Oreochromis niloticus: one gene and its partners. The protein of the gene in region 3 purifies or fractionates together with the protein of the main gene of each other region. This does not show direct contact. Links are inferred from orthologs where the notes say so. Each region holds a gene or a part of one and is shown on either strand. Other genes may lie near its edges.

What was found. The genes of interacting proteins can lie anywhere in the genome.
Region 1: the proteins of snrpf (region 3) and tgs1 purify together in Homo sapiens (co-immunoprecipitation; 3 studies listed by BioGRID and IntAct, counting the BioPlex papers as one, with this or other methods). This does not show direct contact. The link is inferred for Oreochromis niloticus from reciprocal best matches to the Homo sapiens genes SNRPF and TGS1.
Region 2: the proteins of snrpf (region 3) and rbm22 purify together in Homo sapiens (co-immunoprecipitation; 3 studies listed by BioGRID and IntAct, counting the BioPlex papers as one, with this or other methods). This does not show direct contact. The link is inferred for Oreochromis niloticus from reciprocal best matches to the Homo sapiens genes SNRPF and RBM22.
Region 4: the proteins of snrpf (region 3) and prpf4bb purify together in Homo sapiens (co-immunoprecipitation; 3 studies listed by BioGRID and IntAct, with this or other methods). This does not show direct contact. The link is inferred for Oreochromis niloticus from reciprocal best matches to the Homo sapiens genes SNRPF and PRP4K.

The regions. Positions count from the first base shown.
Region 1 is NC_031982.2:1,809,351-1,816,575, reverse strand, and holds the start of tgs1 (trimethylguanosine synthase), read left to right. Parts: upstream 1-4,209; 5' UTR 4,210-4,317; coding exon of another isoform or gene 4,318-4,321; coding exon 4,322-4,434; exon of another isoform or gene 4,435-4,483; intron 4,484-5,623; exon of another isoform or gene 5,624-5,793; intron 5,794-6,309; coding exon 6,310-6,371; intron 6,372-6,649; coding exon 6,650-6,777; intron 6,778-6,884; coding exon 6,885-6,975; intron 6,976-7,225. Other genes in the region: tmem68 (DGAT1/2-independent enzyme synthesizing storage lipids), read right to left, coding at 2,177-2,347, 3,236-3,295. UniProt on the Homo sapiens protein: Catalyzes the 2 serial methylation steps for the conversion of the 7-monomethylguanosine (m(7)G) caps of snRNAs and snoRNAs to a 2,2,7-trimethylguanosine (m(2,2,7)G) cap structure.
Region 2 is NC_031966.2:25,337,212-25,344,178, forward strand, and holds the start of rbm22 (pre-mRNA-splicing factor RBM22), read left to right. Parts: upstream 1-3,951; 5' UTR 3,952-4,050; coding exon 4,051-4,104; intron 4,105-5,245; coding exon 5,246-5,299; intron 5,300-5,412; coding exon 5,413-5,442; intron 5,443-5,575; coding exon 5,576-5,708; intron 5,709-5,818; coding exon 5,819-5,919; intron 5,920-6,082; coding exon 6,083-6,255; intron 6,256-6,394; coding exon 6,395-6,595; intron 6,596-6,967. UniProt on the Homo sapiens protein: Required for pre-mRNA splicing as component of the activated spliceosome. Involved in the first step of pre-mRNA splicing.
Region 3 is NC_031981.2:17,184,190-17,191,532, forward strand, and holds the start of snrpf (small nuclear ribonucleoprotein F), read right to left. Parts: upstream 3,012-7,343; 5' UTR 2,859-3,011; coding exon 2,856-2,858; intron 2,241-2,855; coding exon 2,115-2,240; intron 392-2,114; coding exon 327-391; intron 181-326; coding exon 114-180; 3' UTR 1-113. UniProt on the Homo sapiens protein: Plays a role in pre-mRNA splicing as a core component of the spliceosomal U1, U2, U4 and U5 small nuclear ribonucleoproteins (snRNPs), the building blocks of the spliceosome.
Region 4 is NC_031974.2:14,009,545-14,017,495, reverse strand, and holds the start of prpf4bb (pre-mRNA processing factor 4Bb), read right to left. Parts: upstream 3,017-7,951; 5' UTR 2,870-3,016; coding exon 2,811-2,869; intron 1,654-2,810; coding exon 1,563-1,653; intron 1,289-1,562; coding exon 153-1,288; intron 1-152. UniProt on the Homo sapiens protein: Serine/threonine kinase involved in spliceosomal assembly as well as mitosis and signaling regulation. Connects chromatin mediated regulation of transcription and pre-mRNA splicing.

The DNA.
Region 1 (7,225 bases), on a different chromosome or scaffold from region 3:
ACAAAAAAATCGAAGAGACAGTAATAGCACAAATATAACAGCCTGGGGCACCGGTTTAGCTCAGCGGGCGAGCAGGCGAGCATATGCCGTATGGCCCGAGAGCAGCAGCGGCCCTTTGCTGCATGTCTTCCCCCCTCTCTCTCCGTCTCCCCTCTTCCTGTCCATCTACACCAGGGGTCAGCAAAGAGAAGACGGAGAAAATTAAATTTTATTTATGTAATGAACACATTGTCACCCCTTAAAAAATAATAACTAAAAATAAAGTCAACCAGTTGAAGGTGTCTTTTAAATGAATTAAAAAGCTGAACTTAAATTATCCATGTAGCAAAAGAAAAACAGTGAGCCGTCATCCTTATATCGCCTTCTGGGCTTCCCGGAGCGGAGCCTTGACCAGAATTTAAAAAATAATTGGAAAAAAGCACTATGCTCCTAAAAAATTAAAAATAAATATTTTCAACATATCTGCATAATATTTATTTTACCGGGTTAATGTGCTTCGCGGGGCGTGGCCCGCAGTGACGCTGCAGGAGAGGCAGACGTACCTGAGTGGCATCCGCAATCACGCCTCACCTGCTTGCTCTCTCTGCTCTTGTTTGTATGTGTCGGGCTGTGCGCTGGAAAGCTACAGCCGGCTGTGTGTGTGAAAAGTGGTCAATAAAGAGATGCTGAAGAGCATGTTCATGTAAACATCGTCGGTGCCGTGATGTGTTTACAATCGGACTTCTGCTCCTGAACCTCTGCGCACAGCGTCTGCTGTACGAAGTCACTTTCATCTTTACGCAGGACTGTAAGCTGTCGTCTGTGAGGCGTGTGCGGTGTTTGTTTTTAACATAGTTCATGGTGGAGAACAGATGCTCACATACATATGTGGATCCGAAGATCGACACGCCACAAATTAGACATACTGGTAGGCCACTCTCGTCAGAAGTAAATACAAATGACTCTGCCCAGGCATCGTTAAATGTTGTATTTTCTTCAGATATTTTTCTTTTCTTACAGTTCTCCATACTAGGCCTACCTGGGGCTGAAAGTCTCGGTAAACGCACGTCGTTTCGGCGGGTATACCGGCTTCAAAGAGTGTGACGCTTATTTTGAACAACGAAAATAATAAAATATAACTTTATTTTTATTATTCAAGATCGCAATAATCTTCCAATTTAGAACTACAAGTTTTAAAAAAGAACTAACACAAATAAAAAACACTTCAGTTAAATACTTATAATTTATTTTTCCGAGCCGCAATATAAGGACTAAAGAGCCGCAGGTTGCCGACCCCTGATCTACACTGTCTCTATCCTATAAAGGCTAAAAAAAAAAAGGTGTGATGTCAACAAGCATAGTCAAAAATGTCTGATGTAAGTAGGTTAAAGTAAACGACTCATTGCCAACTTCCTGACATTACATGGAGTATAGAGAGACCATTATTTATCTAAAGTAGTGTTGAAGACTTTCCCGATTGAATTAGAGAAAATCCAAAATAACTTCTAATTTGTGCACCCAATTTTTACTTTTTAAAGTAATGAAAGATGTATGCTGTACAATCTTTCCAAACCTGGAAAAAGAACAGTTCAAAGAAATCATTACTTTGAAGAAAAGTGTTGTGTGTTATATGTGCAGTAATGACTTTTTTGGAGTAATGATCCCAACACTGATCACAACAAACTGGGGAAACACCTCCAGTGTGCACAGACATTTGACCATGCATGAATTTAATGTCTGTGACATACTGCTTAGAGATGGTCTCAATGAGAATTGATTATGCAACTGGATTTACTAAATTTTTATCAATTCCCATCCCTACTTAGGCCTCATATATAAAACTATAAAATACCACTCAATACTTTGAATCAACTGGTTTATTTTTTTATGAAATAACAAGTGAGCAGGCCTCACCTGTCCATGAAACTGCTTGCCAGTCAACTGTCCCTCTAAAAATAGGGAACTATGTAAAAAAAAAAAAAAAATAGCTGTGAACTCCTTTACTTAAATCTGAAAGTCTGCACTTCAGTCAGACAGTCCTATAAATACTGTGCAGATGTCGAGAGGCAAAGCTACTAAAATTGTGTTTTTGTCCCAAACATTATAGAGGGAACTGTAGATGATAACTAAACAGTGAAGGTCTTTGATTTGTGTTACTCTATTTATGTGACTGAGACTGTAGGGACTGTTTACGTACCTTGTAGACATGAAGGAAGAGTATAGAGAGGTAAAGGAAGATAACGATGAGGAAAGGCACAATGAAGACGATGGCTAGGGGTGTGAAGACCCACAACAGGTATTCCAAGACACTCAGATAGTCCTCTTGATCAAGACCTGCCCATTCCTCCCATGCATGAAACAAACACACCTGTTGACCAGGACCAGAATGTCAATACTAACATCCATCACTTTGGTCCAGATGAAAACATCTCAATAATTACTGGATAGGTAACTTTAAAATACGCAACACATTCTTGTTTGTATTAGCATTACTTTTAAAAACTGGTTAACAGTGTTATGTAACATTACAGTTGGACATAAAATACCACTGAGGGAGAATCTAGAGTTTCTAGGCGATTGACACCATAGAAGCTCTTTTCACAACTTAACATGTGACATAGTGATAGTATAACACTCTTTGTAATACCAGGTGAGATCGTAATAACAACTACATTTCGGGACAAATTATCTACATTTAAATTTAGAATGGCGTGGGGCCCACGATCTGAACGCCTCCTCTGTGGAGGAGAGGGCCTCAAAGAGGGCTGGAGAGACATCCCATTATTCAAACTGTGGGACTTATTATCCACTTGTTGCCAACATATTGTGGAAAATCCATCCATGCATCTTTTTCTGCTTCTCCTTGTGGGGGGCTGGAGCCTATCCCAGCTGTCTAAGGGCAAGAGGCAGGCTACACCCTGGACAGGTCGCCAGTCTGTCGCAGGGCTAACACTATGGGCAATGACTCACCAATTCACCAAGCACTTTGGACTGTGGGAGGAAGTAGGAGTACTGGGAGAGAACATGCAAACAGAAAGATCCGGCCTGATTGTGGAATTGAACTCAGGACCTTCTTGCTGTGAGGCAACAGTGCTAACCCTCTATTATGGAAAATTTGTTGTATTGTGTGCGTCTTAAAATAAAATAATGCATGAACACCAAAGCTGATGTTAAATAAATAACACATTTGTTTCTAGGTAAGCTCGATTTCATTATCAAGTCCTAGGTGCCTGTAATGCATGGACAGGATGCATACCAAGAGAGAGAGAGTGTCCTCCGCGCCCGTCAGACATGACTGGTTGCCAGTGCCTGACATAGTGCTCTGCTCTCAGCCACGAGAACTCCAGCTCAACCGAGTGACGCTCAGATCAGGTCTCAGGTAGACTGCATAGAGAACACCGGCTGCTACATAAGAAGGAGGTATAGGAGGACACCGCTAACTCAGTTCTGTGACTACATTTACAAATACACAGTCGCAGTGGATTACGCAGATCAGAAAAGATGTAAATAGCACGTATTATACCAACTACAATTTCTAATAAACACCAGCAGCTTTTTAACATCAAATCAAATGACAGCAACTTTACATAGCATTAGTATCTAGAACACCACCACCTTTTTACTGGGAATAGGAAGAGGCTACATTTGATCAGCAAAATGACAACAGCGAACTCGGGCTACGGTATAATAACTGACTGAGAGCTAAGTCTCATTGAAGGAGCCGGAAAATCTGACATTTCTCAATAAGCCAACTCCACGGTTACAAACATAAAAACGGTACCTACCGACTGCTTACTCGGTAAAGCGTGCCATTAGAATGTAGCACGATATTCAGTATTACACTAGCAAAACCTATACTTCTTAGAGCTATCAACTATCCTGTTCATCAACCCGGAACGTCGTTGGGGGAACACAGAGTCACAGATTTCTATCCTAAAACTGTGCTGTACCGATGAAAGAGTTCTTACTGGCTTACAATAAAGAGTTTCCGGGTCGACTCGTTCGCTTCAAAATAAAAACAAAACTGAATTGCACCAGCTTTCAAACAGTAACTATATACAGTCATAGAGAATTAGAAAATATCCCTCAAAAGTAAAAGTGGAAAATGTCAAAAGGTGCCATTAAATTAAAAAAGTGTAATAAATTCAGTAAAAATAGTTACATTAATGTGCCGAAGAAAAACTACTTTGCAACTTTTATTTTGAAAAATAGCGGAAAATCCGCTGTTAGCTTCTAGTGCGGAAATAATCAATAATAAAGGAAAGAGTCCCATGCTGCTTAAAGACGCGAGCAGCTCGTCGGTAAATGAAAGTGTGTTTCTTGTTGTAGCGAGCTAACCGCCATGATGCTGGAAATGAGAAGAGTAGCCCTGGTGGCGGAAATCATCTTCAGCAAGAAGGAGTCACTGCAGGAGGAAGAAACGATTCATTGTCGTTGCTCCAGAGCCTTCGTACAGTGAGCCTCCACCACCTTTCCTCTGTCCGCTAGAGCTATTCTCATACACGTAATTCATTTACCGCATGTCGAACAACAGTCTGATCTAAACCGGTGTTTGACATCTCAGCCAGGCTGCCATGGCAACCAGCCAGTGTGGATTATTAAAAGACAGCAAGAAATGAAAACCAGTCAAATCTTTGAAATTTCGTGTATTAAATGTCGTTTTAATGAATAGCCGATTTACTGTTGTATAACTGACTTGATTGAAGACTACCACAAAGCAGTGTTTTTAAAAGTTATATCAATCACAGTTGAATAAATCGCAGTTATTACAAGGCTGCTACTGTTACTAGTACAATGGTGTGCTAAACTCCACAAGAAAATGTTAGCAACTGTGTGCTAAGTCTGAATTGGAAAGATGAGCAGTGTGTGGTATGAGCTGCCACACCAGGAGAGGTGTTGTCTTGCACACAGAGCGGTGGAAACTTATCATACACTATATTGCCAAACGTATTCACTCGTCCGCCTTCACACACATATGCACTTGAGTGACATCCCATGATATTGTCCCACCCTTTGCAGCTATAACAGCTTCAACTCCTCTGGGAAGGCTTTCTAGGAGTATGTTCATGGAATTTTTTACTTTTCTTCTAGAAATGTACTTGTGAGGTCAGACAAGGATGTTGGATGAGAAGACCTGGCTCACAGTCTCTGCTCAAATTAATTAATTTTGTAAAAATTCCCTTTAGGCTGTGAGAGGTGTTTGTGTTAAAGCTTTAAATATTGGTGGTTATCAAATACTGGAGCTTATGAAAGGCAGGAGATTTTTACTTTTCCACAGAGTGCTTGTTCTAAGTCTAGTAATAGCAGCATGCTTTACATCACTGCACTCACTATGTGTTAATAGACCTCTCTGCATCGAATCATATCTGTTATTAATCTCTGTCTCTCTTCCACAGCATGTCTTTATCCTGTTTTCCTTCTTCACCCCAACCGGTCGCAGCAGATGGCCGCCCCTCCCTGAGCCTGGTTCTGCCGGAGGTTTCTTCCTGTTAAAAGGGAGTTTTTCCTTCCCACTGTCGCCAAAGTGCTTGCTCATAGGGGGTCATATGATTGTTGGGGTTTTCTCCGTATTTATTATTGTGCGATCTATTGTACAATATAAAGCGACTTTTGTTGTGATTTGGTGCTATATAAATAAAATTGAATTGAATTGAATTGAATTGAATTGAATTAGATGCTTTGCGTGGCGCTTGGTCATGCAAGGTTTGGATTCAGCTGCTCAGCTATGGAAACCCGTTCAATGCAGCTGCCTAACTGTTCTTCAGCTAATCTGAAGCCCATGTGAAGTTTGGAGTTCTGTAGCAATTGCAAAAGGTTGGTGACCTGTGCACTACGTGCTAGCACTTTGTGGCTGAGATGGTGTCATTCCCACTCACTTCCACTTTGTTGTAACACCACTAACAGTTGACTGTGAAATATTTAGTTGCGAGGAAATTTCAAGATTGCACAGGTGGCATCGTATCACAGTACCACGCTGGAATTCGCCGAGCTTCTAAGAGCAACCCAGTCTTTCACAAATGTTTGTAGAATCAGTCTGCATGCCCAGGTGCTGATTTATACACCCGGATGTGATTGGACCACCTGAATTTAACGATTTAATGAATACTTCTGGCAATATCGTGTGTCATGTCAAATGCTTTGAGTGTTGAATAGGAGTAGAAAAACTCTGTATGAATGCAAGTATATTACTTTATATTTTCACAGTCATTTAGATGTTGTTGTTCTCAGTACCCAAAAACCTTGAGTTTTAGTGGATACGCTGATATGTACAGATGCATCTATGGATGTCCTACAGTACATCTGTCCTTTATGTCCATCGCCTCTTTACAGGGATCGAGAGTTGTATCGTTCTGATAACAGACTTCTGCCTGACCTGGAAAACACTGTACAAGGTATATCCTATCCTATCATGATATTTAATAGTACTGGGGATTAAAATAATCATCTATGAAATGTATCAGGAATTGGGGTTGGTGGTACGTGTTTTTTAGCAGGTTCTGAGGAACATGATTCTGATTCTCTAACATCTCATAAGACGGACTTGAATTTGGTAAAGAGTTGGTGTTCTCACTGAATACTCTGTGTTGTAGAAGAATGTGGCTCTCTTAACCTCGCTGTACTGTCTAGTTTTAGTTGCCATGATTTTAAAAATACATTTCTCAACTCATAGACGTAGATGATGGTGAAGAGGAGGAGGAAGAGGAGACTGAGGTGGAGGAGCTGGATGAAGAAACTCAGATGATGGCCAGTATGGGCCTACCTTTAGCCTTTGTGTGCTCGTCTGAGCAGAGGAGAGCAGTAAGTCACACTTCATCTTGGCTTTGTTGTGCTGTGTTATTAAAGTCACTGTTTTTTTAATGGAAACTAAAGAGCAGTTTTGGTTATTATTTTTCGTCATGTCACAGGGGTGGAGGTCTAACAGGAGTTCCTCAAAATACTGTGAAGAAACAAGTGAAGAAGAGGAAAGTAAAGAAGATCCACAGGCTGATGAAAAAGGTAATGCAATTATCTTATTGCTTTTATTGTTTTTATTACGAGTAATGTTACAAATTGTAAGGTTTTTATGAGTTTTTATGTGGTAGAGTAACCACTTTCTCCACGGTCTAACTGAACTCCTTCCATACCTGAGTTTTTGTGTCAGCTACTGCCAGAGCTGCACTCTGCTTGTAGGTGGTGGAGCTGACAGGTACCATCTGGTACTGGGATTACTGCGACAACATGCACCAGTGAGCTTTCAGTGGCAGCA
Region 2 (6,967 bases), on a different chromosome or scaffold from region 3:
GACAAACAAATGACAGCAACCTCACTCCTTAAAAAATATAATCTGCAAATGGAATAAGCCCCACTTTTTTTTCTCTCTCTCTCTCCACAGATGCAGGGTGGGACATTTGATAAACAACACATGGCTTGGGAATAGCAAAAAAGGAAAAGAAAAAAAAGTGAAGCTATGGTCAAATGAATCTCTTGATACATAAAAATCAGCAGGGCACCGCTTTTCACTTGCAAAAATTTGCTCTGCAGCTGAGGGGAAATGCAGGGAAAGTCCTTGTGACTTTGCCAAATACATTCTGAGCGTGAGTCACTGTTCTTTAGTAATCTCTTAGTCACTTGAGGTGCACACTTCCATGCTCCAACGCCCCAAGGCAACAGATTTCAGGCAGGTCTGGACTGCCAACCCCCCCTTTTTTCTCTTTTCTTTTTTTTTTTTTAAGTCTTTATAGTTTTTAACGGATGCGGTGCTTGGTGGAGGCATGCATTTGCTCTATTTTACGCCAGACAAGAGCAACAAAGCAGGCTCACAGAGAGAAGACACAAATCGTATCTGAGCCTTCCTTCTGTGCATGGCTGGAGCCCTTTTACAACAACCACCAAGCCACATGTAAACATATCAGAACCGGGTGCCTCTCTCGTGCACTTGAAAATGTCCCACTTTCTCAGAATAAAAAAAAACCTCATCTGGTTAATAATTTGACCTAATCAGCTTCACATTATTAGTTGTAAACAGTTAGTAAATTAGAAAAATACATAAACAAACACCAGCATTTAGATGACTCCTACAGGTATCTGATACATCCCATAATAGCAGCTTTTTACGAGCAAATTTCAAGAAAAAATATGATCATCTAAATCAAATGAAGTCATATTAAAGCACTAGTTACACTCCCGTGCTAATCTTTTGTCCGCCTCTTCCACGCGCAGCAGACACTCGCATAAATCTGTTTTTATTTTACGCACACTATCATTCGCCTTTTTAACCACAGCACTGTAACAGGTCTGCTGTTAACACTGCGGCCGGATAGTGCAAACTTATGGGAGGGCGATAATTTCTTAACACCGTACACACTGAGCCACAAAGTTGCAGAAAGCAGTTCTGCTCGGTGCCGAGCTGTGCCGCCGGGTCCCACTCGATAAAGGAATTCCCGTGAAAATCACGGAGCGGCTCTATCCTGAACACAAACTTCCACCCGACCCGCTCCACGACAATAACGTTAGCGCCTCGATCTCCGCTGCTACGTGGACGAGCGTGAAATCTGTGCCGAGGGGCCGCCACCATAATAACAACGCCGGGGCTTTATGTTCCCAGCTAGTGGGCAGAGAGAAAGAGAGGGAGATCAGGCCGGAAAAAAAAAACTGGCCTCATCTCCGTCTGCGCCAGACAACTAGCCTGGCCTGGGGAGACCGAGCGACGACGCTTTCGGTCGCCTACCAAATACAAGCAAAAACACCGCGACGCTCCGTGCGGTCGTGTCGATTTTCACTCACCTTGTCCGTGTGTGACGACGCACGGATGTTGTGCACACGAGGCCGGCCGGGTTGAATGTGGTGATTTAAGCGCGCCGGTCTCACGTCGTCTCGGTTTGCTGTCGGCCGTGATGTGGAAGCGGGCAGAGCGGACTCGGCTGGGAGAAATCGGGAAATGTGAGAAAGACCCTCTCTTCTGCAGCTCTGTGCACAGGCAGTAGCCCATAACTGTCGTCAGGAGGCGCCAGCGCGGCGCATTTTTCCTCCCTCTGATATGCGCATGCATGCAAGCTACAGAACTCCTCAAAGAAATCACTGTGCGATCTTGTTCCTGCAGGAGATTACTGCGGGAGCGTCCCTGCTCGACAATGCGGAGATTATTTGTCTTCTTGTGCTTCCACGTTTGTCGAAAACTATTTAAAATTGCACTTAAAAGTTTTAGATATTTTTTAGGCAAAGGGGTAGTTGAGGGAAAGCAATGCTGTGCGCAACAAGGAGCCAACATTTAGGTCATTTAACCGGTTTTGCATCAGTCTCTGTTTCCTTATAAGAATCACTTACACAGTGTTGAGTCATAGTGGCTTTATCACTGCATTACTACAGTTATCCTTTCAACCTACAGTATTTTCATTATCTTGTGAAGGGTATGTCTAATAGAATACTTGTAATTGCAACCATATTCTTAGTAATGCTTAATAATACAAAACATTTCACAGCAAACATCAATATCTTTGAATCATGTGCAATAAAACTGGTGACAATGGTCCAAAATAGCCTAAATAACAACCAAATGTCTGTCATGTCATGTGCCAAACAGATTCACACAGTACCAAGGCGATGATTCCTTGAAGCGGCTCTGTAACACGAAGCATCTGAGATGCGGCAGCACACCTACACGTCCTCTGACCTTGTAACTCTTGCGGTTGGTGATTTTAATTACAGGCCGGCTAAATCCGAGACAAAGCCGTCCTTCAAAACAACTTTGGCTCACGTGATCAAGGAGAAAGGGTCAGAAAACTCATTAGGACAAAAGGGCTGTGCCCAAAAGGTTTGCTTTGTTGTGCTATAGGGCAAGAGACTGCCTGTTCACCCCATTTGAAGGAAAACAACAGGAGAAGGCCAGTGGAAATTTCCATCTGCTCCCCTATTATGTAAATATGATTACTCAAACCCTCAATCATTAATGAATGGAGCCACCTATCTCATAGAATTCAACCAGTTTATACTTGAAATCCTAAATCTAAGTAAGAGATCAAAAGGAAAAGGACAACATGGGGATTTTCCACTCGGAGGTGGCCATAAAGAATCCCAGACGCTTCATCTTGACTTGCTGAAGGGCAGCTGCATGCTGCCAGTGCTCCAGACCTCCATCTAATCCCTGCCCTCTGACTCCACAACCTCGCTCTGACCTTAAATAAACATTAGGGACTTAGTTGCCATCTGTAATCTTCAACATCCTTTGGCCCACTAATTGGAGTTTCACACCGCAAAGACACCCTGACCTGAATCAGAGCAGGTGGACAGACAAACTATGTGTGTGTGTGTGTGTGTGTGTCGAGGACACAATTGGCTTACACAAGCTCTCACACATCAGCCAAGCAGTCTGTCTGTCTTCTGTTTTTCCCTGTCTCCGGAAATAGCACTTTGCAGCCTTTGTTTACAACAAATATCTCTGTATCAGCACCTCAGTTAAGCAAATAAAGCATTAAAGTCATTCTAAACCTCCCCACAGGTTGTAAGCGATATCATATTAGGTCACTGACTTTTAAGACTTACTCAAAAACACCAGTTGCGTTTTATGTTTTTGAGGTAAATTATTATTGTACACTGTCCCAATTAACAGTTCGTGTCATAGAGCCAAAGGGAAAAGCAAAAACACACTCAGGTTTACACCCAAGGTGCAGATGGACGAGTCACGGTTAGTATTTCTACAATGCTCACAGTTATTCTCTGATATTTACGTTCCTATTTTATTTTATCGTAAACCTGATAGTTTCTTGAAATAGAGCGACATCCTTAGGTGAAACGTGGCTATCTGGCCCGAGGTGCATTATGGGCTTTTGTAGTCTCGCAGACTACACAAGATTCCCACATCCCGCTAAACTAAACTCATCCTCAAACTGAGTCCTGATAGAACACATCTTAATCTAGACTCAAACCTAAAAGTAAAAACAGTAGTCACTTTAAAAATTTTCGCCAAGTGTACAGCGAGATCTGCAGGGTTGCCAGTTCTGCAGTTTTCCCGTAACTGGGCTAAGGTTAAAATGCTGCATTACCCCCCCCGGCGGGTTGAGTACAAATTATTGGTTAAGTAGACTCTTTTCGAAGGAGCTTCCATGTACATCTATAAATACAAACTCATTTTTGAAATGAAACAATTCATATATTAATATGTAGTTACATACATGTTTACATATCCCAGCAAACCGAGTCTAGCTCACATGTCATCCACGTACAGGTACTCTCTGCCGACCGCTGCCTGTACCGCTACCAGCTTTGGCTGCTGTGGGCGCCAGTTTTGATTGGCTATTGGGGTGGTTTTTGACGCAGAGACCTGGCAACCCGTTCCGGTTGCTCCACAGTCAGCAAAATGGCGACTTCCCTAGGCTCCAACACTTACAACAGACAGAACTGGGAAGACGCGGTACGTTTTATCGGGGTTATATGTTACCGAGTGGTTCCAGTGACTGATGTTAAGTTACATTTTATGAGTAAATATAATCGGGAAACACGCTAGCTTTTTACTAAACTATTCAGTTCTCTTGGTAGTTAGCCTTCCGCTAGCTAGCGGTAGCTAGTTGTAGAAGCGTGGCTGCTAGCTTCAATAGCTCACCTGTATACATCGTTGCTTACGATATTTTACGTTAGTTCATGAAACGTACCTGTTTCCGCTGGATCCAACTAGAGCATATTTTTAGGTTGTAGTAAAAACAACAGCGACTGAGCTCACAGCTATCATTGCTAACGTAATTTAATCCTGGGCTGTGTGATAGTTAACTGGCTACACCTATGAAGGCCAGCACTAGCAGGCTAACAATGCTAAAACGATGGTAGGCGGGTGAAAGTTTGCTTATATAAATGAATATAAGAAACCGAAAAAGCCACACAGTCCGGGGTGGCACCACTGTTTTGTAAAGTCGCATAAGCAAAGTGACATTGAAAAACCAAACCTTCTTGTTAGGCAGGTTTGACAGCGGTGTTGTGAAAATGTTAGAGAAAATTTAGTCTATAAAAATAGTCTTTACACTGCTGGGCACTATTTCAACAGTGATTGTTATATAAGGTCACAAATAGACCAGTCCTTAATTACTTATAAAGGAAACACAAAACATGTTTGTGACCTACCTAAAGATTATTTACCCTATAAGGCAACAAATCACTTTCCCTAATTGAGCTATGACACCACAGGACATTTATCCAATGTTAGTTTTGTTAAGACACTAGACTAAACTTTGCAACCCTAGATTATGTAGATGACGCTTCAGCCATAAGATCTGCTTATATTTAGATGTTTGGCTGATGCTGTCTGGGAGACGGATTAGGGCAAGGCCGTTTTCAGCACCCAGCACTCGGACTGAAACAGCATCCTTTAACAGATGGCAAAATAGGACCCATAGCGCTCCCTGTATTCACTCTTACCTGTACGTGTGCCAAGGTGCTCACAGCAGAAGGAAGGTGAAGCAGAGATGGAGAGCCAAGTTGGTCTGTTGAATAACTTAATTCAAGGGATTGTTGGATAAACCGGATTACAGTGCTTGATTTTCACAGTTCTTCTTTCTCCTCAGGATTTTCCGATTTTGTGTCAGACATGTTTAGGAGAAAATCCTTACATTCGTATGGTGAGTGAGTATCCCTGTGTCTTCATAGCAAATTCAAGACTGTTTTAACACTTTGTGTAGTGTTAATATCAGCAAATGTGCAAGTCCAAATATGTTCATGCTTTGTTTTACAGACCAAGGAAAAATATGGGAAAGAATGCAAGGTATGGTTTTTTTTCTTTCTTTCGTGTTAACTGTTTAAATTATAAATTGCCCACAGTATACAGGCCTGTTTGATGCATGTACAATGACAATAAAGAACTATTCTATTCTAATACGTTGCTCTCCGCCTATCAGATCTGTGCTCGGCCCTTTACCGTGTTCCGATGGTGTCCAGGAACACGTATGCGTTTCAAGAAGACAGAAGTCTGTCAGACCTGCAGTAAAATGAAAAATGTTTGTCAGACATGTCTGCTGGACCTGGAGTATGGTGAGTCTCTCGGACCAGCTCCTCTGGGTTTTGTCGCTGTGCAGATTTCATGAGCCCCTCATTTATGTAGTTCTGAGCGTAACCCTCCTGCCATCTCTTGTGTTTGACAGGTTTGCCTATCCAAGTCCGAGACACTGGACTCTCCGTTAAAGATGAGGTTCCTCGGTCAGATGTGAATAAAGAGTACTACACACAGAACATGGAGAGAGAGGTAAAAAAAAAAAAAAAAAAAAAAGCTCCTTTCTCATGACTGCAGTATGCTTGCACAGTGATAACAGTATTTACTGGTCCAATGTCTGATCCAATGTTTTTTAAGCAAACATAAGAGAGAGATTTTCCATCCATCATGCCTCTCTGGACTTTTTTGTTTACAGATAGCCAATTCCGATGGCACTCGGCCAGTGGGCCAGCTTGGTAAGGCTCCAAGTTCTAGTGATATGTTGCTGAAGTTGGCTCGGACCACACCATATTACAAGAGGAACCGGCCACACATCTGCTCCTTCTGGGTGAAGGGAGAGTGTAAGAGAGGGGAGGAATGTCCCTACAGGTGAGTGCCATGATGCTAGTCTCCATGGAGCCGATTGTTTCTTTCTTTTAATATCACCTCACATATATTAAGACATCGCTATGGGTTAGTTGAAGTGTCATATTATATTTATTGTTTTTCGGTTGCCCTCTTTACACAGGCACGAGAAGCCCACAGATCCTGATGACCCTCTAGCAGACCAAAACATAAAGGATCGTTACTATGGCATCAATGACCCAGTGGCTGACAAGTTGCTAAAGCGGGCTTCAACTATGCCCCGACTGGACCCACCAGAGGACAAATCCATCACCACTCTCTACATCGGGGGGTTGGGAGACACTGTTACAGATGGAGACCTCAAGTAAGCATTTCTGCTTCATAATGACCTCTTTTACAGCTTGCTGTGATAATTTATTGTTATGCCTCGATACCCGGGACAGCCGTGGCTGGAGGCATTGTGTTTTTGGCTGTCTGTTCATCCATCTGTTCCATTCCTATCTTATCTCTCTCATCTCTATTTAAATGTGGCACAAACAAAGATGAGCTGGTTAGAATAATACAAAATACAAATGTCTAATTATACTAAAATGATCATAGCGTATGTATCTTTGTATGCTCCTTATCGCCTCCAACACAAGTGTAGCAATCTTGATGAAACTTTGTATAAACATTGCCTAGGGCACTGTGAGTGCCAACATTTGTATGGCCTATAGGAGTATTTTATAGAAATCCC
Region 3 (7,343 bases):
CTGGTCTCACATACAGTAGGAAAAAAAAAAAAAAGATTCAAAGCTGCTTGAAAAATAACCCCAACCCTCATTTGTTTCACACGGTGAAAACACAAACACACATCAGCCCAGCATCACTCTCGCATCTCGCCGTCCTCTTCCTCCTCTTCTACACCTCTGATGTACAAAACATTATTGCACCTGTGGAGGTCGAGCACAGCATGAGAAAGCGTTTCCTTCCACCAGTCACTTAATTATTAACACAAGTTAGTCAAGTCTGACGACTTCAAACTGTTCGGACTCCCGCTGATTTCTCTCTGCGGCGTTACAAAGTGTCATTCACATACCTGATGAGAACCTCACCGAGATGTCCGGCCAACGCTCCATCCACATACTCTTCTGTGTTTGCCAGCTGTCAAAAAAAACATAAATAAAATAAAACAAAGTTCAAAGGTCAGGTAAGATAATTGGTGGAGCAATGAAGCCAAGATCTCCCTCATCCCAACAACCTCCTCCAGCTCATCCAGGGAAACACTGAGGTGTTCCCAGGCCAGCTGACAGATAAAATCTCTCTGGTGCTTCCTGGGTGTCCACCTAGAACACCTCACCCAGAAGGTGACCTCCTCAACTGTCTCCTTTCAGTGTGGAGGTGCAGCGGCTCTACTGTGAGCCTCTAATGAAGAGGCCAGCCATCCTTTGGAGAAAGCTCATTTCTACTGCTTGTATATCAAAATAACTAAAAAGAGCCTTAACAATACGATCAGGCCCAGACTAGCAAAGTTATGGCATTTTTCTACAAAAATCTTGTTGCTGCAGCTCCATCTGGTGGCAGATGGTTGTATAAATATTTAGGACACCAATTCACCATCATTGGACTTTAAATAAAATGTAATTAGATTAAATGACTTGTACATTGAGCACCGACTAGTGACAATAGCAATGATCAGTCGCCACAGTTGCACAAATTCATACTTAAAACATGCGCTAAATAAAAGAATAATAAAAAAAAAAAATGTAATCCTAGTTGCCACAGTGATTTCACCAGGTAAAAACAGAGCCACTTTGGTGATACAGAAAACTCTGACTTTAAGTTTAGCATAGCCTGTGGTGTAATTCTATAAATGTGCAGTTTTTAAGGGTAGAAACTGTTCATACTTCACAAATTATCGAGTATCAGGATGTTTTCCCTGAGGTGGATTATTGATGTTGTCTTAAGTATATTAATATGTGTGCATTTTCATCAGGGTGTATGTTTAGAACTACAAGTGAGGACAGTTTTGAGTTAACACAGGTCCCCTCTTCTGTGACTGTCTAGTCACTGGTGTACCACCCAACACTGGAATGATGCTTCCTTGCAATGATGTCATTTTATCCTTCAACAGGAAAATACTACAGGTTCTTGTGTGACCCCATGAACACATTACTCGAGTTTTAATAATAATAATAATAATAATGATAATAATAATGATAAAGATAATAACAATAATGTATACTTTATTCCCCCGTGGGGAAATTACTTTCTCTGCATTTAACTCATTCACTCAGTGAAGCAGTGGGCAGCCACTAATCAGGCACCCGGGGAGCAGTGTGTAGGGACGGTACTTTGCCCAGGGGTACCTCAGGGTAGCTGTTCAGTGGATTCAAACCCCCCGACCTTCCGCTCATGGGGCGACCACGCTACCTACTGAGCTATCCCTGTCCACAAAAGAGTTTTCTGTTGTTGCTGGGTAATGCAGGGGAACTGTGTGCTGACGGCTTGGAGGAGTTCTGTGTTGCATTAAGCAACAGTAAAAACAACCTTCTAAGAGAAGAGCTGTGTATGCTGCTTCAAACACAGTGAAAGAAGCAGGGGAGGCAAAGGTAACACATTACTCTGGGCTAACAGTTGTTTTTACTTGGATATGGAATAACACAAAGTTTAGAAAAATAAATCCAAGTCACCTTTCATGCTACAGCAGCTGCATTAATGGCAAACTAAATGCGCTTGTCAATGTTAAAAATCACATTAGCTAAAAACTGCTTTTATTTTGAAATCGAGTCTCAGTTTCTCTTACCATAATATCTAGTCTATAAACAATGCAAAATTTGACCGTAGAACAAATTTTAGGTAATTGAACAAGGCAAATGATCCATACCTGCATATTCATGTACCCGTCCACAGACACGAGGTAGCCCTTATATTCCATGCCCCACTTCAGCTTCACCATCACTGGTTTTCCAGTCAGGCCGTTCAGGAAGGGCTTCGGGTTCAGAGGTAAACTCTGGAGAAGCAGACCAATCAGAGATAAATACACACACATTAAATTCAGACCCAATGAAACAAACAGCTACGGTTTAGCATCGTAATACCCGTACATGTCAAATCAAAACCATATGCAGTGACTTATTCTGGTCTGTGATCCTATAGTAGGTATCAGGTCTCTAAAAAGAGCTCTTGCACATTTCCTTTCAGTTTGCACAATCTTTCAAAGACAAAGACGATTAAAAAATAAACCGTAAATTTTATGATGATCAAGTTATTATAAGTATTTAGCTTCAAAATGTTTGTGTGGCAGTTAAATTAGACGTTTTCTGAATGAAGTTTGGTGCGACACTCTCTACGGATTCAAGCAGGAAGAAAAGCGCCAATAAACAAACAGCAAATAAACGGGAAGCATTGAAACCAGCCGAATTATGTTTCCGTAGATAAACATAAAATGCGAGGCTGCTTTCCGTGTGAGGATTCATTCATTCACTATAAAGTTATGAATGAGATACTAGCTTCGCCTATGCTAACCAGCTAACAGGCTAGTCGCTATTCCCGCGCCCTTCTGAGTAAAAAATCCCCCCAAAACATCCGGTGAAGCTAAAAGGTAGTGTTTCCGAGCTTTACTCACCATTTTAGCTCAAATTAAATAAGCACTGTGCGTTTTAAGGTATACGTTTGATATCCTTTCGTCACAATAACGTTGCACTTCACAGCAGCACACGCTTTACCGCCGACCGGAAGTCCTGCACTTTGCTTCCTGAGGAGTCTGCGTGTTTTTACACACCGCTACCTAGCGGTCAGGGGTTCACACCACACCCAAACCGCATTGTTCATTTATTTATTTTACTGCTTATTATGAGCAGAACAGAAACCGTTAAGACCATGAGAGACATGAGAGAAACAAGCTGGGGTCAACCATCAAAGCAAGGGACAGCGCACAAGAAAGGAGAAAAAGAGGGTGGAGGAGGGATGGAGCGGGTGGAGACAATGTCAGGAGTGATTTGTGACAGGATAGCAACCATTTATAATCTTCAATACGATCAGTTGCAGGCAGGTGGCGCAAAGAACATACTAAATAAGGAATATGTACAGATGTGGTCAGAAGTTTCCAATAATTTGGGGGTTTTAATTACTTCTTTAAACTTTAGTTTTTCTAGAGTGGGATGATTGTACAGTATACATCTTTAATGACTTTAAAAATAATTGGGTGCGCAAGTTTGAATTTATTTTGGATTTTCAAAAGTATACATACTGTCTCAAATGTATAAATTAACTTAAATCTTTTAATAAGTGGTTCTGATTCAGAATAATAGGAAAGTCCAAGGAACCCAGTAAAGATCTAAGAAAGATTATTGTAGATTTACACAATTTACAAAGGTTTTCGGAGCCATTTGTAAACAACTGCAAATTCAAAGATCATCAGTTTGCATGCATCATTTGGATGTGTCAACACTTTGAGGTCTTGAAGAAGACCCCAACTGTCATTCTCAGATGAGAGGAAATTGGTTGGGACATTCAGGAACAACCCAGGAACCATTAAGGCTCAAGCCTGCCATGAACTAGAAACTTCTGGAACACCTATGTCTCTGTCCACAGTGAAGCCAGTTTTACATAGCTATCAACCAAGAAAGAAGTCCCCCCTCCAAAAAGACACCTTCAAGCTTGAATGAAATTTGCAGCTGTCCACACAGACAAGACAAATGCCTTCTGAAGCCAGTTTTATGGTCACATGAGACAAAGATCAAGCTAATTGTCCACAATGACAAGAGGAATGTTTGGAGGAGTGAAGGTCAGGCTATCAAACCTAAGAACCCTGTACCAGCTGTCAGGCATGGCGGTGGTAGCATCATGCTCTATCTGGGGCTGTTTTGCTGCCAGTGTTCTGGGACATTGTAATTTAGCATGAATACCTCAATAAACTTCAACTTAGCTCAAATTAACAGCTAAATGACTGAAAATTGAACATAACTCAGCGTTCCAACATGACAATGATCCCAAATACACATCAAAATGACAACTAAAGTTATTTTGCCTCATGATAATATACTTAAAAGTTAAATTGTAATCTGATTACTGTTCAAAGCAAATACACTGTAAAATCTAATTAGTTCCCAGTACTCAAAAAAATTATGGAAACTCGTTGCCTCAAAAAAATTGAGTAAAGCTTAGCTAAAAATGACTAAGTTAGGTCAACTTATTTACTTTGAGTACTCTGTACAAGCTCATTTGTTCCCAGAACTCAAAAAAATTGGATCAAGTTTACATAAGATGACCAAGTTAGGGCAACTTACTCATTTTGAGTACACTGTACAGCCTTGTTAGTTCCCAGAACTCAAAAAAATTATGGAAACTCGTTGCCTCAAAAAAACTAAGTAAAGCTTACTTAAGATGACTGTTAGGACAACTTATACATTGCAAGTCTGCAGTATTAACAATAACTTGATATTTCTGACTGTACAATACTAATTGTTTACCTACTGACAAAAATGTTAAGCTCAACTAAATGAAAAAACAATTTGTGGTAACATGAATATGATTAAAAATAATTAACAACAATTTTTGTAATGATGTTAAAATGAGCCCAACTTTTATTTTCAAACACAAAGTACAACAGCCAACATACTGGACACTGTTCTGCTGAACAACAAACAATTATATTGCCATCACTGTTATAATCTTACAATGAAACAAAGTCTCAGATGTAATTATTCTGAAAATAAGTTTAGGCCTACCACAGTTTGTTTTGTACTTACATTACTTATATAATCAGAATAAAATATTTATCGTTCTGTCACAAGTGCAGTCTCTAATTTAAACAACACATTTGTTTTGCATTCCAACACATGAGCTGGAATGTTGTATTATTTTAAGGATGGCTTGTTTCCAGTCCAGGCATTACTGCCTGAATGACTGTCATGGATCGAGGTGATCCAAATGTAGGTGCAGAAGAAAGTCTTTAACTTCCCTTAAGTACACTGGCAGTGGATGTGGGTTGGAGATGCAATGAGCTTGAACCTGCAGGCGACCATCTTCACTGACCACACCATCTGTGACGGAGGACTCATCTCTCCTGGTGTCCTGCAAGCAAATAGTCATATTTTTTGGAACATGAACTTAATTGCTTTCTTAAAACATTTTTTTCTGCATTTGGTATAGAACAGACTCCAATTTAGACGATCTCAGGCTCCCTCCCCACCGGAGAGGTGACATTCAATGTCCCAATTGTCAGTCTGCATAGTGACCACCACCCAGCATACAATAATGTCATGAAAGCATCATTTTAAAAAGGGCTATGCAAACATGGCCAATAACTTTCATTCTAATGATGTGCAAAATGATTTTGGGCACAAAACAAATTTTGCTGTTAGAAAACTTGCAGACTTCACTATATACAGTGTAGACCCTCTAAACTAAGTTTGGGGGATGTGATCTTTCAAGAAATGCAGACTAAACTGTTGTTGTTTGTTTACTTACACAGCATGTCTTGTAGAATTAACTGGAGTCACCAGCAACAGCATAGTGCAGTCATATCTCAAGTCTAATAACAGAAGACAGGAAAAGATCAGTAAAGAAACAACTTCCCCAAACCAAAGCACAAATAAAACAATAAGTAAAACAGGCTGATCTAAAGTATGATTAAAGTTCAGCCTGATTAATATAAATGTCACTGACAGTTGCTAATATATTGGAAAACCAAAATACTTACCACTGAGTTGATGTCTTTCTGTCCAACAGCAGGAGTGCTGGTCCCGATCGGCCTCAAAGACAGTAAGAAGCAAGCAGAGGGAGAAAAAACAGAACATTTTTCAGAAACTGATTTGATCCTTAATGGCTGTGCAATCATTGTAACATAGAGTTTGCTTATGTTGTTAAATAAAGGCTAGATTTGACATTAATAGATGCCACAGATGTTCTAAAGCTGCCACAAAGCATGAAAAAAAAATAGACGTCTCCGAAAACGTCGGAGCATTTTTGCAAATATGTGATGTCTTGATAAATCGAGCGGATATTTGAGCTTTACACAGCTACATTCTCGCCTGAAAATATCTTAAAAGTTTATTTTGTGACCCAGAAAAAGTAATAAGTTTTTCAGCGGCGCTCCTCCGCCATTGCCGCGCTTACAAGTACGCACAGGCTCCGACAACCGTGGCCGACAAATGCGATCCTCCTTTTCCCCAGACTACCCTTTCTGGGTCACAAAATAACCTTTTAAGATATTTTCAGGCGAGAATGTAGCTGTGTAATGCTCAAATATCTACTTAATTTATCAAAATATCACATATTTGCAAAAGTGCTTCCACGTTTTCGGAGAGCTCTGTTATCCACCCCCCACATCCCACACCTACCCCACCCCTAACGGCTGCACCTCCCGAAGAATTTTGTCTGGGCTCTTATCTCACTTATTTATTTCAAACAATCAACAGAAAATTTCACCACATAGTTTTATGTAAGGTTTTTAAGGCTGTGGTGTTAATTTTTAAGTAACATGAGCCCAGCGGCAGCAGCAACGCTAGGCTAACACTAACTAGCTAGCAAGATTTTAAACCTGGTGCTAAACTAAGAGAAGCCACAAATCAGTTTGAATAAGAGTAAACATTTACTCACCAAGTCAGTGTATCAGGTAAAGATCCACAGCAATGACAACAATAATATCTTGAGCTGACGCTTCTCCAGGTTTGCTCAACATATTCCATAAAAAATGCACCGTGAACATGCGGACTGATCCGAGAGGGAGGAGGACTGTAGTCACGTGGCATTTTCAAAACACATCTTTCATCCTTCCGCACTGAGAAGCAAAACTTCCAGCTTACTTAGTTTTTCTAAGTTAAGACAACTCAAATAAATTGAGTTTATCAGCGTTTTTGCATAAAAAGTACTGGTAACTTATTTAAATTGAGTTCTAATAACAAATTGATAAAAACTGAGTTCAGCCTATTTAATATTTTTAATTAAACACAATATTACATTTTACAGTGTAAAAGCATCACTGTCGGTGCCTCCACCTGCCCTCAGCTGGACTGAAGGCAGATGGAAAATGACATATCCTGTAGGTGCAACACCTGCTCTACTTATGTCACTTTGACATGCCCCTCACCCACAAACTGCTCACTAGTTG
Region 4 (7,951 bases), on a different chromosome or scaffold from region 3:
AAAAAAATCTTTCGTTTTTATAAATGAACACTTAAATATTTTACATTTTTGCAAACTCACTTTTATTCATCTGAAACTGAAAGGCAATTCTGTCATCTGTCACAATCAGCTTATTCTGGGAAACGGTGGAAAAGCCAGAGGTGTGCACTAACCTCAGTGGTGACTCCTGCCTCTCAGCATCTCGCCTCCTGACCTCTGGTGAGCGGCTACGGCGTCTCTGGGGCGAGAACCTAGTTCTGGAAGGAGAGTGGCTCTGTTTTGATGTCCTTTCTGAGGCACTAGCCGAAGGGTAGCGGGCATCTCTATGGCGAGGGGAAGCGCTGCGTTTCCTTGCAGGGCTGTGAGCCCCTCGTCTATGAGGGGAACGGTTTTCCTTTCCTAAAGAAGTGTCCTTGGATGGTGACTTGGCTGGCCGTTTGTCCCGGTCAGCGTCTGAGCGACTTGGCCGTTCCCGTCCAGGCGATCTGGACCGTCGGCTCACTCTTTCCTGGTTGGGTCTATCATCCCGCTGCGGAGAGGACCGTTTATCAGTGCGGCCGACTTTCTGCTCTGCCCTGAAGCTGGAAGGAGAGTTGGACTTCCTTCTCTCCTTGGACCTATCAGTGCTGTGTGAACGCTTCCTGTCTTTTGACCTGCTCCTTCCACGCCCTCTGTCTTTTACACCTGTGTCCTTGGTGCTTTTGGTCACCTTGTCCTGCTTAGACTCCTTGGCCGGCTTGTCTGCAGACTTACTCCGACTACGGCGTTTGGAGCTAGACTTACTGCCCTCTGTTGAGTCCCGTCTAGATTTGCCACTTTTTCCTCCTCTGGGTGATATAGGTTTACCTGAGCTGCCCCTTTGTCGTGGTTCTCCATTTCTGAACCTTGCATCTCCATCCTCTTCAGATCCAGAGTTATACCCCTGAAGAATCAAACCCATGCCAGACTGAACTTTTCCCTCCATCAACTGGCTGTCAAGTTCAGCTTTGATCATGGCCCTCTGTTTCTCCAAATCCTCCAGCAAGGCCCTGTCATCCAGACTTGGATTTCCAGAAGAAGGAGAAGATTCAACTTTTCTATGAGTAGAGGAGCCAAAGAGGACAGCGGCGGAGGGAGAGGAGCCCTCTTTGCGTTTGTGTTTCCTATGTTTGTGACGATGCTTGCGTTTGCGGTCCTTGTCCTCATCAGAGGCATGTTTGTGCTTTTTGTGCTTACTGCGATGCTTGTGTTTTTTCCGCTTGTGTTTACCGCTACTGCTGTGATGTTTGGACCCCTCCTCTGTCTTCTCGCCGTTAGTTTCAGCCTCCTCCTAGCATGTGAACATACCAGGATAACAATCAATTTAGTTGACAGATGATCTTTGTAATTCTTAGTTATGGTGTAAACATAGATACAATCTTGTTTTCTTTGAGTTTTTACCACCTAACAAACCTAGACTGTATTCAGAATGACTGATATAGACAAAAAGTGTTACTAAATTTTGGTTAAAGGTGATCTTACAGCAAGTTATAGTAGCACAGTTTGTTATAGTTTGAGATTTGTGTTAAAAGAGATGACACCACTGATGGCATTTAGGTCCTCACATTGTCAACCCCTACCTCCTCCTCCTCCTCTTCAGATATGTCGCCACTGTCCTCATTTCCACTTCGTTCATGGCTTTCCAGATCTTGCTTCCTGTTTCAAAAAAAGAATATTTAATTACTTTAGTGCTAAATTATTTGGCTGACTGAAGTCAAAAGGAAACAAAGGTCTAAAAAATACACGCAACTGGGTTAAATATAGTTTTTGGACTGGTAGTAGGAACACACAGCCTGACCCTGAATGCAACTGATAACATGCCATAGAATGAGACACACAGAGTTCTGCCATCTGTCCAAAATACTGACAGGTGCTTAAGTTTAAGTAACAGTGTCTGGGATATAAAAAACTATGATAATCAACTAAAAATTTCATTTACACATCAAATCTTTTTTAAATCTGGCAAAATAGGAAACTCTGTCCAATTATTATTTCTTTAACACACAATGAAGTGAACACTATTCACAGCAGCAAACATCATACAACATCATCATCAGTGGTTTTAATTTTTATACATGCACATAAAAAAAGACCATAAAGCTGGCTATTCTTTCCTCGAGGTAACTTGCAGACATCGTGAGCATTTAGTCTAAAAATCAGTCCATAGATTACACAACATTCATTTCCGAGTTTAACCCATCATCGCCCGAAGTGTAGCATTTTAGGTTACCGTAAGGTGTTTAACATCAGGTATACCGGGATTATATAATGTGGTCAGTTTAGCAGGAAACTGTAGAAATACTCATCAGAACCACTCGTTGATGAGAAAGTGACACTCGGTAAATCCCCGTGTAACCTTCACTTGCTCCCTCTTTCCCCGAGCGAGACCGCCAAGATGATTTTCACTCATTAGCTCTGACATGCTAACCGTCTTTAGCAAAGTTAGTGCTAACCAGCTACATCCCGTGAATAATTTTAGCTATGCTAACTTACATTACATAATAGCTGCTTGGGAGGGAGTACAAACCTTACACTGTGTGTGGCTTAGCAGGTACACTTTATTGAGGCAAATACACACAAACGCGGATGAGGTACACTTCTGCATGCTATCACCGAAACTTAGTGCTAGCCGCGCTAAAGAACGTTAGCTAGCTAGCCAAGAACGTTAGCCTATCTTGAGCATGCCCCGGCAACAACGTGAACCTGCTACTCCGTTAGCCCCGGCGATGCTAACACTTCCCTTCATTTTCGACCTGAAAGAGGCCTATAACTTACTGCCACAAACTTTAAATATCTGTAATTTAATAACTTACACGTGCTCGTTGCCATTATTCATTCTCCTGGACGAGATGTCCATCTCAACGTCGGCCATTTTCCTCAGCTGAGGGGGCTTTTTCTTCTTCGGCTACTTTCACCACATGGGTACAATGATATCAAAATACTGACACGTTCCTCTGGTGTTTTGGCGGCGCATCGCAGTCAGGATTTGTGCACTGAAGTCTGTTCTTTGTCCACTAGAGTGTGTGCTCGTGTAACTTGAAATGTTCATATTAGCCACTTACGTCACACACATATACACCCCCCCTCCCCGAACAACTGCCAAATTAAAATTTTTGAAAATTTTTGGTAATTATGTCAAATCTTTCATCTATTAAGCATCTTGAAATTTCAAGTTATTTCTGAGTGGAAAATTTGTAATAAGCAATTCGAAATGTAAAGTTATTAACCAAAGTTTTTAAGTTGAGAATGTTGAAATTTCGTGTTATTATCTCAGAATTTCGAAATGCTAACGTACAAATGGAAACATTGCAGAGTAAGTCAGTGTTCTGAGATACGCAACTCAAGAAATTAAGTCATTATCAAGAAATTTTAAGGTGCGTTACTCGAAATTTATATTTACTGTTTGTGTACTGTATGTATTGTCCTGTATGTATATTTAAAGGAGCGAGAGAATAGCTCTTTTAGCCAGTGTGACTGTTTTTAATGTGGCTTTTAATGATCTGCTGTTGTGTGTTATTCACATGTTTGTGCTCACTTGTCCGTATGCAATATATTATTTGTTTTTTACTTGTCATATTATTATGCGTCGTATTTGCTGTGGCTTTTGCTGCCCTATTGGCCAGGTCTTTCTTGGAAATTAGATTTAAATCTCACTGAAACTTTTCACCTGGATAAATAAAGGATAATAAAAACAAATGTATAATAAATACCCCACAATGTACTTGATCTTTTTTGAATTTTCGTATTTTTTCTGTATAAATCGATGGGCGACCTGAAGACTTGGATACAGGATTTTAAATGACCACATTGGCTATAGAAAAACTGAAAACATAGTCGTGCAAAGGACAGGCTGTTGGAGCCTGCTCGGTCTGCTTTTACCACAGGATGGCCCAGGAGGTTAACTACAGGTGGATCATGTGTAGTGGTTCACGTGGTTGCTGAAAACCCCTCGTGCGCGTCACAATTGCGCACCTCAGTGTGCGCCAATGGTCAACAAAATGACACATGAATGATTACAGTTTTATCTCCAGTGCAACATTTTAACAGCAATGATTTTGCGGAAGTTACTTAGTATTATTGTGGTAAAAATAGAACAAGTAAAAGCGTCTCACTGTGTGATACTTGAGTTCTGTGTCTGAACTTTATTGCCTTTTATTTAAAGAGGATACTGTAAATAAAAGGCAGGTCATTGGTCAGGTTCTTGTACCTTAGAGGAATGTGCTTTTTGTGTGAGTTTGTTAAGCCACTTAACACTGACCTATGAATCATCCAAGCATAAAAAGACACATAGCACAAGGGATGAACCAGTATAATGCCTACACATGACAGACAACTTAGCTAAGATATTTCCATACATCCTAGCAAAAAATGCAGAAATGATCAGCGCTTCAACACTTCTACACAGTTCTATAAATAGCCTTTTACTTATGGTAGTCATCAGACCTGCAAAAACAAGAACAAGTCCAGTATCAGAAAGTGGTAATCCTTCTGCAAAGGGGAAAAACAGCATGTGACTCTGAAAGACAGAGTTAAAAAAATACCAAACACCACATCTGCTTTATCGTGTTGCTTCATACAAAATGCAAAATCTAGTCAGACAGATCTGAGGCATCATGTTCGCAACACAAAAAGTTGCGAGCTGTAAGCGGTAGCTTCTGAGCACAGCTCTGTGAAACCGCATGACTTTCAAGGATGCAAGCCCATTCAAGGGCTGGGCATTATCCACTGACAGTTTTATATCAAGCAGTAAATTGTGGTATTGTGAGACACCTGTGGCTGCTCCACAACAGTGACGAAGTAATGGAAGCATGAAGACATAACGGTGTTAATGCTGACATCCTGGCAGATGGGATGAGATTTTCTGGCAAATGATGATACTGCAGATGGTACTATTATCATCATGTGTTTGCTGACATCTTGATTTGTGTATGCTTGAGTACTCTGAAATTTTGTTTACAAGTACAACAAGTATATACCGAAAAATACCCAACGCGACTTGAGTTTTACTGGAACCCCTCTCACATAAATCCACACTGTATGTACAGAGTATAAACACAGAGAGTCTCAGGATGTAACTCGCAGCCTGGGCCTTCTGTCGTGCAGCCTATCTCAGATTTATATGGTAAAGTTGCAAGCTGGAGGTCTCACAACTGATTAAAGTCTCTGTCACAGAGACATTAGATATTCCATTAGTTCACAGCCCCATCCCAGTGTCCCCAGTAAATCATGGCAGTATACAGTACGAGGCAAATGTTGTATACTCCATTCTGCTGTGCAATCTAAAGACCAATCTCTGTGTCTTACATTGTATGACTTATGAGGTGTGTAACTACTTATATCGTGTAACGATATAAGATAAGATCTTCAGATGCAGGAAGCTTTATTTTAACAGTTCCTATATCCTTATTTTAGGTTAAAAATCTGATTAAACTTTACATCTGTACAACTGTAAATCTAGAATAAATCCATCTGACTTTAATGAGAGTACCATTTCACTGTTTGGCACAAGTGTCGAATAATAGCAGCAGTAAGCTGTAATGCTAGAAGGATAAGTAATGATTACATACTTTGGGAGAAGGTGCTGATCACAACATCCTGTTTCAAGTCGAGAAAGTCCGAAGCATCCTGACGATTGCTGCTATATTTCGATCCATACCCATAAATGATGAGGCCCTTAATCAGAACATTTGTCACAGAGTTAGAGCCAGATTGGATAGGGCTGTGTGACATGCCAGCTACCCAGAGGCGAAGCCAAGATATTGTGAATGTTCCTCTGTGGCTAGCTGCAGTATATGTCAAAATCAGTTGAACCAGTTCATTTATAACTAATTTGTTTTCCTTCATATTTAGTGATTATGTCTTTTAGAGCTCCAGTCTTCCTTTTTCTAGGGATGCTTTTGATTAGCATTTTGATGCTATTTGATCAGCATCATTGTGATTACAGAGAACAACATATGCAAAATAAGCTGCTGATGAAAAATAATGTGTTTCATCTTGTGAGAATACTTGTTTAAAAGGTCATAATGCACATATGGGCTGCTCAACCACGTACTGATACATGGACATGCTGTTACCTGTATTAATCTCTGGCTCTCTTTCACAGCATGTCTTTTGTACTGTCTTACTTTTCTCTCCCCAACCGGTCGCAGCAGATGGCCCCGCCCCTCCCTGAGCCTGGTTCTGCTGGAGGTTTCTTCCTGTTAAAAGGGAGTTTTTCCTTCCCACTGTCGCCAAAGTGCTTACTCATAGGGGGGTCATATGATAGTTGGGTTTTTCTCTGTATGTATTATTGTAGACTCTACCTTACAATATAAAGCGCCTTGAGGTGACTGTTGCTGTGATTTCACGCTGTATAAATAAAATTGAATTGAATTGTTAGCATGGGTAAAAACTGCACCTTTGCACAGTTATACAATGACTGTGCTCTAAGATCTGCAGCCACATTACTGATGAATGGACATTTCACAAATAATGGCGCACTGACACGGTAGATCTGATTCATGACTGCAACTCGTATTTCCCTGAGAAAAAAACCCAAGCAGACATTAAGCCTACCTTGACTTTTCAGCCCTCTGCTCTTTGGGCTTTACTGGAGACACAATAAGGACGGGGCCATAAAACATGGGGTCCAACAAATGCTCGCTGAAGACAACCACAGTCCATTATAGAGCCTGTTAAAGACGCTCAGGCAGTTTGCTAACCCGCTGTCACCCTAGCCTCTGCACTCTTCACTGGGTTTTGTCTGCTGCTGCAGACAAAGATAGAGTTATAGCTCAGAATGACTTCCTCAATGTGACGCTTAGGCAGCTCTTCTAAATAAAAAAAGAGCGCCTGCTCCTATCAAGCAGATGTCATTTGTTCCCTGACAGATGTATCCATATTTTTTCTTTCTCTTGTCTTCTTAACAGTTTTGCTTTACGAGCCTCTGTTATTTACTTTTCTGAGAGAATAAGAGCTGGCATACAATTTACAAGGGCAAAGAAGTGGGTTTGGGAGTATGGGCTAAGCATATGGCCATACTCCCTGAATCGGGGGGATTCAGTTGATGTTTGCTTTAAGGAAAGGATGAGAACAACCAGAAAAAACCCCTTCTGAAATCCAAAACAGCTCAGACCAGTTGGGGCAATGGACACTGGGTTTGTTCCACTGTGTACTGCAAATGCCTGATCAGTACTGGAATCTGGGAAGTTGGAATCAGTTTTTTTGTGCTGTTCTGGGTGGGGTGCCTTTTCCATGGGGTGGGGTGCTTGCTTTGCAGTGTTTAGGTGGGTGGCATGTGTCAAAATGACATCCACATGAATACCAGGAGCCTAGTAGATTGTAACATAAGTATCAGTGTTATTCGCCATTGGTTTCATTTTTAGGTTTATACTAATTAAAATTAAAATTAAGAAAGTCTTGTAACTTCAGCCAGACTGGGCGGTGACTTGAAGTTCATTGTGGACGTTAAGATCATCAGTGTAGGTGCAGGGTGTGGCAGAGGAGAACGTCTGTGAAGGGCTGACAAATTAGAAAACAGGAGTTGCAGAAACCCTTAATTTTACTCCTCTCAAGTGCTTAGTTAAGCATGGCTGTAAAATTGCATATGGGTGACAGTCAAAGCCTGTAATGGCGATATTTAAGCAGTGCTGTAGGTCCAACAGCTGCGTCACAAAATAAACAGTGTAAAACCACCCAGGTTACAAACTGGAACTAGTGTACTGTATCTTATAATACTGCCTAATTCATGTGAATTATTTTGAACCTAAACTTGCATTTATTGGGTGTGATCATCGTTTAAAAAGGTTTCAATCACAAGCTCCTTTTCATTAAGGGCGCGTACACGCATTAGATACAACACAGACATGGTAAAAAGAAAGTACATCCTCAGATCAATCGATTACACCATGTCATTATTTATTAAACAAAAACTAAGCCAAATGAAGCAGAGCGTGAAAAATAACGTCTTTGTTCA